3 linked regions of the Xenopus tropicalis genome follow. The protein of the gene in region 2 interacts with the protein of the main gene of each other region in a biochemical or structural test. Links are inferred from orthologs where the notes say so. Each region holds a gene or a part of one and is shown on either strand. Other genes may lie near its edges.

Region 1 (3,654 bases), on a different chromosome or scaffold from region 2:
GTTTTCTGGAGTACCAACAGAACCAGGCTGCTGACCATAGTTTACATGATTGCTACTTTGTTGAGAGCGTTCTGATAATTCTTCAATATCCACTATAGAAGTAGAAAAAAAAAAGTTATGTTTTAATAAATACAAAAATTTTTTTAAAAAAAGAAGATTCCAATGAAATAAATAACTGTTTTTTATAGATATTAGCAATACAAAGTGCTGTGTTAATGTTAATTAATTTTCAATTATCTTAAAAGTACATTGAATAATTCCTGTTTAAAAAAGAAGGGGTACATGGAAAAACACAAAACTGATCCCAAAGCTACTGGGTAATTATTATCCAGCCAGACTACTGCAATGCTGCTTTAGACATGATAAACAAATTATGCAGGATTTTATTAGACACAAAATTTGACTTAATTTTGGCATCTGGCACATTAAGAGAAATAATTTTCTTAAATGGCTGTAGGGTCATTGCATTAATACAGCACTGACCTTGTATTTGAAAAGTTCAGATAACTGATGAGCCAGTTTGAAAATAGATTTGGCATCAAGTGGTATATCTGATTAATTCTGCTGTGGGATATTTGCAAGGACAAAGTTCAACCTATATTGAAAATAAAATACTTCAAACTAAAACTAACCATAAGTGGGGGAAAGAAGGAAGTTTAGATAGATAAAAAAGTGAATTCTGTTTCTATACCAAGATACAAAAATACAAAATTATTAGTAAAGGCATATGAGTTTCATGTATTAGTTTAAATATTATAAGAAACTATTTGCCAATTGTGCTTTATTACCAAGGACAATATATTATGCCTCATCATACATATAATAAAGTTGAAAAAAAAAGTTGAAACAGTATATTTCTACAGGCCTATGGGATAAGGATAATTTTATACAAGACTATTTGAGTTCTTTCAAGCTGAAATTAGTGGATCTATTCTATAAAAGAATCATGACTAATTGTCAGGCCAGGTACCCTTTACATATAAACACCTCATTTTTCAACTATATCTGCAAGCTCCTTTGTCTGAATTTTAATCTAAACCAAAGATGAGTTTTATTAACATTTTCACTCATATAAAAGTTTTTAAAAAAATAGTTAAATTAAAGTTTTTTTGGTAATGTAACAAGATAAAGAGCCTGAGCCTTAATATGGTTTGAAAAAAAGTTTACATTATTGCCCTTACATTATTGAACCTAATTACTATGAGCAGATTTTTTTACAAAAACATCCATATTTTGACAAGGTCTGCATACTTTAGTATTTGTTTTTTTTATAAAGACATTTTAGGAAAAAACAAATCTCCACCTTCCCCCCAGACCCACTATTTTTTTTACTGTTCTAATACATCTGTTAAAGAGAAGAAGACTGAACATAACACAGCACTTCCAACCCTGGACCTCCTTTTTTGGACAGTGAAACTAAAATTTTCATTGCCGGAGCAGGGTTCTAAAAAGTCACCCCATCACCACAGCATGAAAGCGCTTCCACACTGGGGTAACAGTTGCTTATTTTGCTTAACATCTATTCTGTAAATAATAAATTCTCAAGGGGGGGGGGGGCTCCTGGTCTATTTGAAAAATGAAAACTGGAAAATCCAAAATGTCTGAAAAAATAGCGAAAAGAAAAATTTACTGAATGGTAGCAAATGTTTAAATATGCTGATTCACAAATAATTTTTTTATCTCGCTTTCATATTTCTTTAATGTTATAACCCTCAGCCTTTTCAGTTTTTTTTCCTGCTGCAAACTCATTAATGCTGTGAGACTCGGAGAGCACATTTAAGTTGTTGGCAGCAGGAGGTAACACTATAATATTTTAAAAACTTTACTAAAACATTTTTGTAAAACAGATTCAATGTTGTTGGGTGCAATTTTTACCTTTAACAGGCTAACCCACATGTGCAATAAATGCCACTTATGTGAAGTAACCCATACCAACTGTTGATAGTTGTTTTAAACAGGTATTGGTTAATGCTCCTGGGCAAACTTAGTGGGGGGTCATTTCCAAACACTGGGCAAATTTGCACCTGGGCAGTAACTCATAGCAACCAACAGTGGTTAGATTTTTCCAGGCAGCTGTACGTTGAACACTAAAAGCAATCATCTGATTCATTGCCATGAGTTTCTGACAAGGTGCAAATTTGCCCACTGTTTATAAATGACCTCCACTGTTTCTTATATTACATAACTCAATTCATGTTAAAATAGTAGCTTTTTGGTTCTAGATTACCACTGTCAGCTAAGACACTCTGTTACACTGTTCAATTTGTATCAAAATATCAACTTATATCAAAATATAGTAGAGGCATAGAAATACATACAATACCGAAATACAAATATTTTCCCACCCAAATGTTTTTGTTTTTTTTTGCACAGTGAAAGAAAATGTAATCCTAAGCAACTCTCCACTATACAGTAAAGGTAAGTGAAAGGTCCCCTACATCTGTTTGCCACAGAATACTTCCCCCTTTCACTTTAAGAAAAAGTGAAGTAGATTGAGAGCAGGCGTCAACAACCCCTGAAACAATCCCTGACTTTGGTTACACTGTTTAAGATTCAGGCCCAGAGAACAGGGAAAAAAAAACCCCACTGATTTCAACTGCAATTACATTTACCTTTTAAACCATTAAAATATTTAATACATTTTAAGAGTGCTTAGTAAAACATTTTCTTTCATTATAAATGCAATGCAACATGGAAAAGGATGAGCAAAATACCAGTATTATCCAGAATACTTGGAATATGGAGTTTTACAGATAAGGGGTCTTTCTTTAATTTAGATCCTCATTCTATAAAATTATTTAAATAACCCCAATAGCATTGTTTTGCCTCCAATAAGGATTAATTGTATCTTAGTTGGAATCAAGTATGAGGTACTGTTTTATTATTACAGGGAAAATGGAAATCATTTTTAAAAATGTGATTTATTTAAAACGGAGTCTATGGGAGATAACCTTCCCATAATTTGTAGCTTTTTGAGAACAGGTTTCTGCAGAATGGATCCCATACCTGTATTGCTATATACATACTAGATCGCAAAGAATGAAAAATAATATTGCTCATCATTTTTAAAAATATAGTTGGCAGATTTTCTTCATACATTTACAAGAGTTACCCTAAAATGACATTTTTCATCATATGTCTCTTTCTCTCTCATTTATTCATATAAACAAGGGGCGGGTATGACTTGCTTGTTCTACCTACACTCGACAAAAAATCTTTTGCAAGATTATATGACCTATCAATATCTTCATTAAAGGCAATTTTGTAAAAAGAAAGACAAGAACGGTTTATAATTGGACAACAAAAGCAATCCTAACCGTTCAACTGTGATTGACAATATTGTAAGTAATGGCGAAGCAATCCTTTCAGCAAGTTTTCTATTGCTTACCCATCATCTCTTTTGTCTTCTTGAAATGTTTATACCACCTTCCAAATTCTTGACATTTTGCTGCTGAAACATTTGCATAGTAAGTGCTGTTCACAATGGAAGAAATCATACTCTAAAAGAAAAGGAAAAAAGAAATTATATCAAACAATCTGTAACAATGTAAAGCAAGCGCTGTAACACAATATCACTTATTAGAGGCTGACTTTAGCAAAAAAATGCCAAAATAACATTTCCTGCAGTAAAATCTAAATGTTGTAAAGATGAAA
Region 2 (4,124 bases):
TTATAATTTGCTAATTGCTGGACAAAAATAGTACAGTCATAAATATAGAATCCAAATATCAGCATACATAATGGACTACCAACATATAATTACAATATGATGTTAGTGCCATGAGCATCTGATGAATAGTCACTATGCCCATGCTTCATTTCCTCATTGTAACTAATTCCTCAAGTATGCACAAGGCATTTCTTAATGTTTAGAACAACAATACCTAAGTCCTCCTGCATATATTCATCTACTTATGTCAGATTGTTTATAAGCACCAGTATATTAGTCATGTTATTGTTTCAGAGGCAGAACTGCAGTCAGAATCAGGCCCTACTTAGTACTTGCACATAATTACTTGTATGCGAGCTTTCCATGCACAGCTATAGAGGTTAATGAAAGTTATTAGCTTGGTCAGACCAAACATTGCAGCATACATCGTGTCCTCAAATGGTAGAATCATGCCAGTTAATGCCCACCAATTTAGCAGACAAGCAGGATAAGCAGCTTATCCACCCATGTATGGGGTCCCCACGACAGGGCCTACTCAACCGATATCTGGACAAAAATCAGGCAATATGTCAATCAGGTAGGTTTGATTTCCCCATAGGATTGAAGGCCACATCTGTGGGTTGACTGGGTCCTCTATTCGACTGCCTACATGGTGACAATTATGACCCAATTGTTGGGCCGAGGGCCAAGCTATCAGCCTGATATTGTCCACCTCAATGTCATCATGGCCATCTTAAATTGCAGAGAAAAGTATAAAAACTAGCCATGCATTCAAAAGGGGCAGCAAATACCATCATCTTATATTCCTACGCTACACAGGGCAAAATTTAAAAATGAAAAGCGTGTTCTAATTCCTGATACCTACATGCACAATCAAAACAAGTCAGCACACCACTGGAAAGCCTTCTGTGTAAACAAACCCCATTCTTTGCTCAGCTTTAGCCTGTCAGGCTTTCAGATACAGAGCAGAACATAGCCTGCCAAATTTGCCCACTGATTCATAGTATCAAAGCAGCCTGACAGGCCAGCAATTGGATTATACTGTGGGTCTGTGTGCTTCAATGCAGCTCACTCCTGTCTGGAGAGGGTATACACATTAATCACACAATTACTGACTGATTCATTAGGTAAAGAAGGCTCTGCCTGTTATATCTTACAATATCTCACAATCTAAAATGCATACATTACAATGTATAAATATATGAATTACACAATTAAAATTACAAAGTACACTGAATATATACAGGTGCAACAGGCTATTCTTAAGCACTTACTATAGTACAACAGTACTAATGCATAGCCTTGATATACCAAAGTCAATAAAATGACAACTCCTTGCCTCAGACTAGGGATGCACAGAATCCAGGATTTGGTTCCAGATTCGGCCAAGATTCCGGCTTTTTCTTCAAGATTGAGCCGAATCTGTGGGCCTGGCTAAAACAAATCCTTCAAATTATGTGACTTTTCACCATATAAAAGCTGAAGTTGAACATTTTTCACCACGTGCGGTTGTTTTTACACCTTCTGTGCCTTCATTTTCATAGGCAAGTTAGGATTCGGTTTAGTATTCTTTCATGAAATATTTGGGGGATCAGCCGAATCCCAATACAGTGGATTTTTGAGAGATGCAAGTTACGGTACAGCACATCTGTGTGTTTATCAGACAGCACACAGGCTCCCAGTTAAGAGAAGATGGTACAGCAGGAAGAAAGTTTGCTGCAAGCGGTGCCCAATGCATAGAGGGGAAACTTGGAGGAGAAAGCATTCTGTGAAGCCCCTCTATCAGCTCTACAAGGGATGCAAGCCCACCAGGTACTATCACTTCCTATCAATCAGCAGAGCAACATGATGTCTGGGGAGAGAGACAGGGCCATGCAGAGGAAGGGTGGGGGAGGGGAGGCGAGTGGGGGAGGGGAGTTAGCGGAAGGGTAGCAGGCACAGAGGATCCCTGAGCATGGTGACAGGAGATAGGGACATGTAAAATAAACGTAAAATAAACAGCAATTTTATAAGAAATAGAAGCACCTCACACGCACCCCAGATCTCTGTATGAATCAGCCGAAACAAGCAGCTCAACCCGGGACTCTGCAAAGTGAACATCAAGCCAAACGTTTTTAAGATCCCGAATAAACGCTGCTTATTTGTCAGCACAAGATAGGAATCCATCCCCGAGAAATGTTATTAAATGAGAACTGTTGCTTGGCAACCCTGACAGCCCCCCCCCCCCCGTCATTACGCCGGGCTTAGCGGGCAGGACTGTGTGCGATAAAGTATCCTGGAGCCGACAGATCCCCGAATGAAGCGGAATAAAGTCCACACGGCGCAGAAACTTCCTTTCATTAAAGTATCGCACATCCCCTGACAGCCGCTTGTCAGTAGTGATGGATTGGGGGGTCGGGCAGCAACAGGAGACGCGCAACATCGCTTATTAAAGAGACCAAGTACCAAGTAGGAGCATCTTCCTCTCACTCATCCCTTGGGAGAGCTCCCAGCAGCCCCTACCGTGCGCCCTGCCCGGGCTGCCGCCGCTCACATTCCCTCGCTCCGTGTGTGCATCAGGACCCTCGCCCTCCTACCAGCCTAACCAACATGCCCTCACCAGCCCCCTCCACCCGGGCAGCACCAACAATAACAAGGGCCCCTCTGCCTTACACATGCAACATAACTCCCTCTGCTTCCGGGAGCCGCTTCTGCGAGTTCCCCCGGCCATTCGCTTCAACACACCCGACCTCCCAATTGCCAATACATAGCGGAGACCGCAATCCCGGTCCCGCAATTCCAGCTGCGCTTTACCTTCAGTTCCGCACTGTCCGCCATCTTGCTGCTTTGCGCGCAGGCGTAATGAACCCGCCGCGACGTGGCTCGGACGCGACTCGTTGCGTCACTACGCAGGATTCGAAAAAAGGCGCCAATTGCATAAGCTGCGAGTTGTATAAGAGCGGTGCTGCATTCGGGTGGGGAAGAAGAGGGGATACGGTGCGGCTCACATTAGCCCCTCTTTTTGCGGGGAAAGTGTTGCGGTCCTATAGCTAGCCTAAGTGCTGTCGGTAACACAAAGGCTAGGTAGATTGGTGGAATAGACTATACTTATATTTATCATGCTGTGTAAAAAGTGGAGTGAATCATTACTGGTGATGTTGCTCATAGCAGCCATTGAGATGTTTTGCTTTGGTGTTCTTGAAACTTGAAATCTAATAGCTGATTGGTTGCCCTGGGCAACATCACAGGTAATGCATCACTCCACTTTTTGCATAACATGATTAATATACCCCATCCTGTGTTCCTGTATCAGGCCCAAGCATCGCGTTTAGGGAGTTTACACAATACGAGTCCTCCAAAGCAAAAGTGAGACATTTTTGTCTTATTTTAACTTGAAGGCTGACGTATTAAAAAATTTTGTCCATCATTGCTTACAGTTCTTTAACATAGGTGCCTCCTGGGAGAAGGTGTGTTGCTAGATTTTGCCTCAGTAGAAGCACCAAAAAAGCCACTCATTGCTCATTGTCACAATTGGTGACACACATTAATTGTGTCCAAGTGCCTCTATTACCTCTCTGGTAGTCCTTCCTCCCACTAATAGCTATTGTTGTTAGATATATACACTGTACAAGCTGGAGCCTGTGTGGCTTGTCGGCTTGCCCAGACACACCAATTGGCCTATGGCACAGGGGTTTATTCCTCACTGGTTAGATTGTGACCATTCTGCCCGTCACTCAGTTCATAGATATTGAATGGAACTGCTGGTTGCAGGCAGAGCTTGACCAGAAAATTGTTTCTAGACAAAATCTGTCTGTCTCTGCTATAGACAAGACAAATGGAAATGATCAAACACTTCTGCAACAGCAGACAATATGCCAGTGTGCCCCAAGCCTTGAAAGACAAGAAAGCCAAACTGACTGGGGGGTAAAAAAACTGGTCACCCACCAGTAACTCTAACCTAGGACCCCATGGCCAGTGTTCTTCTTCTCTAAAAAATGCACTGGACCTAGGTACTTTTTATTGTACCGCTACACTGCACATGCATTAAGGTGTGATCCACTACAGTCATTTGCATGTGTAGGCACAACACTACCCTCCTCAAGCCCTGTGTCTATTCCAGGTTCCTATATATCTTATTAAATTAC
Region 3 (3,654 bases), on a different chromosome or scaffold from region 2:
CCTTCTCCTTTAAGGCAGTTGGAGGTAGGGGCTAGGAAGATTGACCTCTTCTCCATTTTTCGGATTGGCATGCAACACTAAATTTTATTTCTTGTGGCTATCACTTCTGCCTGCAGAGTTGGGGAAATCCACTCTGTGAAGTGAGCCTGTTCTCAGATAAAGTTGTTTTGAAAACCCGCTTTCAATTTCCTGCATTAGATTGTGTCACAGTTTCACCTTGTTTTGGAAATAGCATTTCCTTCTTTTTGCCAAAATTCTGAGCAGGAGCGGAGATGGCAATACCTTGGATTTATTACGCATTGTGCTCTCTTATCAACTGGCAGGCAGAGAGGTACCACATAACCTGAAAGCTCATTCTATTAGAGCATTGGCTACTAAGTTGGGAAGGAAGATCCTGCAATCTGTTGTTTATTCAAAATAAATTTTGTTGAGCATTAGTGTTGTCCCACCCCTCTTACTAGGGTAGTTCTCATAAATCGCTGTAATTTCAATTTCCAAGTTACCTTCCATGGCAGCATTCACTGACCTTCCTCTCTTCTGTCGCTGAGATTCAAAGACAAGCAGAGACAGGCAAAGGGATGTACTTATAGAATTAACCTTTTCCTGTCCAGTGACCTGAGAGGCAAGATTACTCATGTTGGTGAATGCTGCCATGGAAGGTGACTTGGAAATTACAGGAAATATGAAATATTTCTCTATGTTTGCACCATAAATCAGTAGAATGTTTCCCAGTAGTGAATGAAAATTTAAACCATGTAAATATTTTGTTCACAGGATAGCAGTGAAATTCACTTTAAGGTAAAGATGACAACGCATCTCAAAAAGCTGAAAGAGTCATACTGTCAGAGACAGGTAAGTAGAAATTTGTTGAATTTGTCTTTTTAAATAAGGTTTGTAAGTAAACCGGCTATTAATGCCAGGGAATTAAAATGTTAAACATGTATGAAGACACATATGAAGTAGCAGATTTATCAAAGGTTTGTGAACCACTTTAGATGATTTACAGTAGGCAGTGTACTGTTTATATTAGTAAGTCTATACCACATATATGAAAAAATACAGTTATGAAACTGGCAAATGAAGGGCTGCATTTATCTTTGCAAAACACATTTTCATAAAGGAAACATTAACATAGTATGCATACTGTAACTTTAATTTTAGCTTTTTTTTTTTTTTTTCAAATAGAATCAATTATTTGCAGTGAGAACAGTGTAATATAGTAATAAAAACTATACCATAAAAATCATGACCAAAATCTACCATTTATAAATGTACTTGATACAGGTACAGGGGACTATGTATAAAGTGTTGTAATTTCTACATTCTACATACAAATGTATGCAAATAACTTTAAATTAAAGTCTGCAATGTGTACTTTAATCACGTATGAATTGTTTGAATTAAAATTTCACAATAAGGAGCAGAGGGGTAAATCAAAGAATAATGTCTTTGTCCCAAGCATGGAGGGCATTTCATTTTCCCTCACTTTGGAGTAAAAAGCCTGCTCTATATATAATAGGCCCTTACTTTCTCCTTTTTGCATTGCCATTTGATATTTTTGTGTCCCTCCCAACCAGCAACAATTAACTATTAATGTACTGTAATAACTCTGTTGCCACCATTTTGAGTTCTGTGGAATTCCTAAAATACATTGTTTCGTAAACAATGTGACCTATATAATAAAGATGAGCCTTGGAAAGCAAACAGCAACTGAACACACTACCAAATGTACTACCACTACATACTGTATTATTAACAATGTTAAAGGTCTGACAAGTCAATACATTTTTATTGTTATGTAACAAATTCAAATAAAACCCTTTTTTTAAAAAGGGTACTGCATTGGTTTCTGCTGGAAGAGAACTTTACCATCAGATTTACTGTGTAAATAATGGCTATGTTGTTCCATTCAGGCATGGGGCTGATTATCTAGAATGCCTTGGGTTTTCCCTTGTGTTTCCTTATACCCTAAAAACAAGTACTAGCTGCAGTTTTAGATTAAAAAAAAAAGCTTAGTTGTACACCAACTAAATGTAATGTCCATGTTAATACAATTAAAAATTGTTCAGAACATATCAGTAAGTTTTAACCACTGTGTTTTTAACAAAGTGGTTACAGTGGCTTGTGTCACAAGTACAGGTATGGGATCCCTTATCCAGAAACCCGTTATCCAGAAAATTCTGAATTACGGAAAGGCCATCTCCCATAGACCTCCTTCTTAGTGTCAAAACAAGCCTATTGGGTTTGTTCAATATTTAAATGATTTTTAGCTGACTTTTTGGAGATCCAAATTACGGAAAGATCCCTTATCCGGAAAACACCAGGTCCCGAGCATTCTGGATAACCGCTCTTATACCTGTATATTATATTCCCAGCAGTGTGCAGCTACCAAATGTGTGCCTCCTTATATATGGGCTTTTTCAGATGGGGTTTTTTGCCTTCCTCTGGATCAACTTGTAGTTAGGCAGGTTAGGTATAGGCATTATGGTTGAACTTGATGGACGTATGTCTTTTTTCAACCCAACTTACTATGTTACTATGTAACAATAGCACTGATTTTACTGTAGTGCTCTTTTCAGCAACCACTTCATGGCATCTGTTGCAATTTACTAAAGCTGAAGAATTTCTTGTTTGATATTCCTTGGGGCATGAAGGTCCCTTGACGTCCATTTAGGTGACACTTCATCAGTTTTTCAACTAGTAGCTCCAGCATCCCTGGCTGTCAGGAAAGCCTAAGAACTGTTGAAGGGCCATACCTTAGATATATTTGACTGAGCCCTGTGCAGTGAGCTCATTTGCGCATGTTTACAACCCTTTTAGTGCAGTAGATTATAGAATCTACTGCTCTGGCTTTCTGTTTCTTGAGTTGGAAATGTTGTTCTCTTTCCGGTGGGAAAACCATGTGGTCTAGCTATGGTCTCGCACATTAAAGATAAGGCCAGCACATACTATGTTAATGCACAGGGTTGAAAACTGGTTGTTCTGCTGCAGAAAATGCTATCTCTCCCTTTCAGTGGCAACAATTTTAAGATACACCAGTGGTTCACTTAAAGAACTACATGTATCTGTATGTGGATAAGCTGAACAATATTAAGACAAGGCGAAAATACCAATACTGTTCCTGTACCCAGTAAACCATGTCAAGAATTGTAACACTAATAATTTGTAGTTTATGGAATGTTTTGGGCATAATTTGGTAGGTTTACATTAATTCTTGACTATGCACTTTCTCCACTTTTTAGGGTGTTCCAATGAATTCTCTCAGGTTTTTGTTTGAAGGGCAAAGAATCTCAGATCACCAGACTCCTAAGGAGGTAAGTTGTCAGTCTGTATGGCTTCATGACCCCCTCTTTTCATTGCAGGTAATGATAACCTTCTTGGTCAGTTGCTTGATGTGACTTTAGGGGGTAGGTTTGCAAGCTAACAATCAGTTGGGCCAATAATATTTAAACAAGAAAGACTGGTGGACCCCCTCCCCAGACTGGTGCTTTGGCCCAGTTCAGGTCTGGTATAGTTAATCTTCTCCATCTCTTGTCCAGTGGTATGGTCTGTCCCCCCCCCCCCCTCCACTACTTTCAAGTGGTACGGTCCCTCTTTCCACCAATGTCAATCTATCGACTGTACCAATTCTTGGCGGTGGGGGGCGGACCATAC

What was found.
Region 1: the proteins of pias1 (region 2) and satb1 form a complex in vitro, tested with the Homo sapiens proteins (2 studies listed by BioGRID, with this or other methods). The link is inferred for Xenopus tropicalis from reciprocal best matches to the Homo sapiens genes PIAS1 and SATB1.
Region 3: the proteins of pias1 (region 2) and sumo1 form a complex in vitro, tested with the Homo sapiens proteins (6 studies listed by BioGRID and IntAct, with this or other methods). The link is inferred for Xenopus tropicalis from reciprocal best matches to the Homo sapiens genes PIAS1 and SUMO1.

Annotation. Positions count from the first base shown.
Region 1 is NC_030682.2:45,056,447-45,060,100, forward strand, and holds part of satb1 (DNA-binding protein SATB1), read right to left. Parts: intron 3,501-3,654; coding exon 3,389-3,500; intron 93-3,388; coding exon 1-92. UniProt on the Homo sapiens protein: Crucial silencing factor contributing to the initiation of X inactivation mediated by Xist RNA that occurs during embryogenesis and in lymphoma.
Region 2 is NC_030679.2:117,659,471-117,663,594, reverse strand, and holds the start of pias1 (E3 SUMO-protein ligase PIAS1), read right to left. Parts: upstream 2,897-4,124; 5' UTR 2,818-2,896; coding exon 2,794-2,817; intron 2,771-2,793; exon of another isoform or gene 2,653-2,770; intron 2,178-2,652; exon of another isoform or gene 2,037-2,177; intron 1-2,036. UniProt on the Homo sapiens protein: Functions as an E3-type small ubiquitin-like modifier (SUMO) ligase, stabilizing the interaction between UBE2I and the substrate, and as a SUMO-tethering factor. Catalyzes sumoylation of various proteins, such as CEBPB, MRE11, MTA1, PTK2 and PML.
Region 3 is NC_030685.2:52,305,959-52,309,612, reverse strand, and holds part of sumo1 (small ubiquitin-related modifier 1 precursor), read left to right. Parts: intron 1-774; coding exon 775-852; intron 853-3,242; coding exon 3,243-3,314; intron 3,315-3,654. UniProt on the Homo sapiens protein: Ubiquitin-like protein that can be covalently attached to proteins as a monomer or a lysine-linked polymer.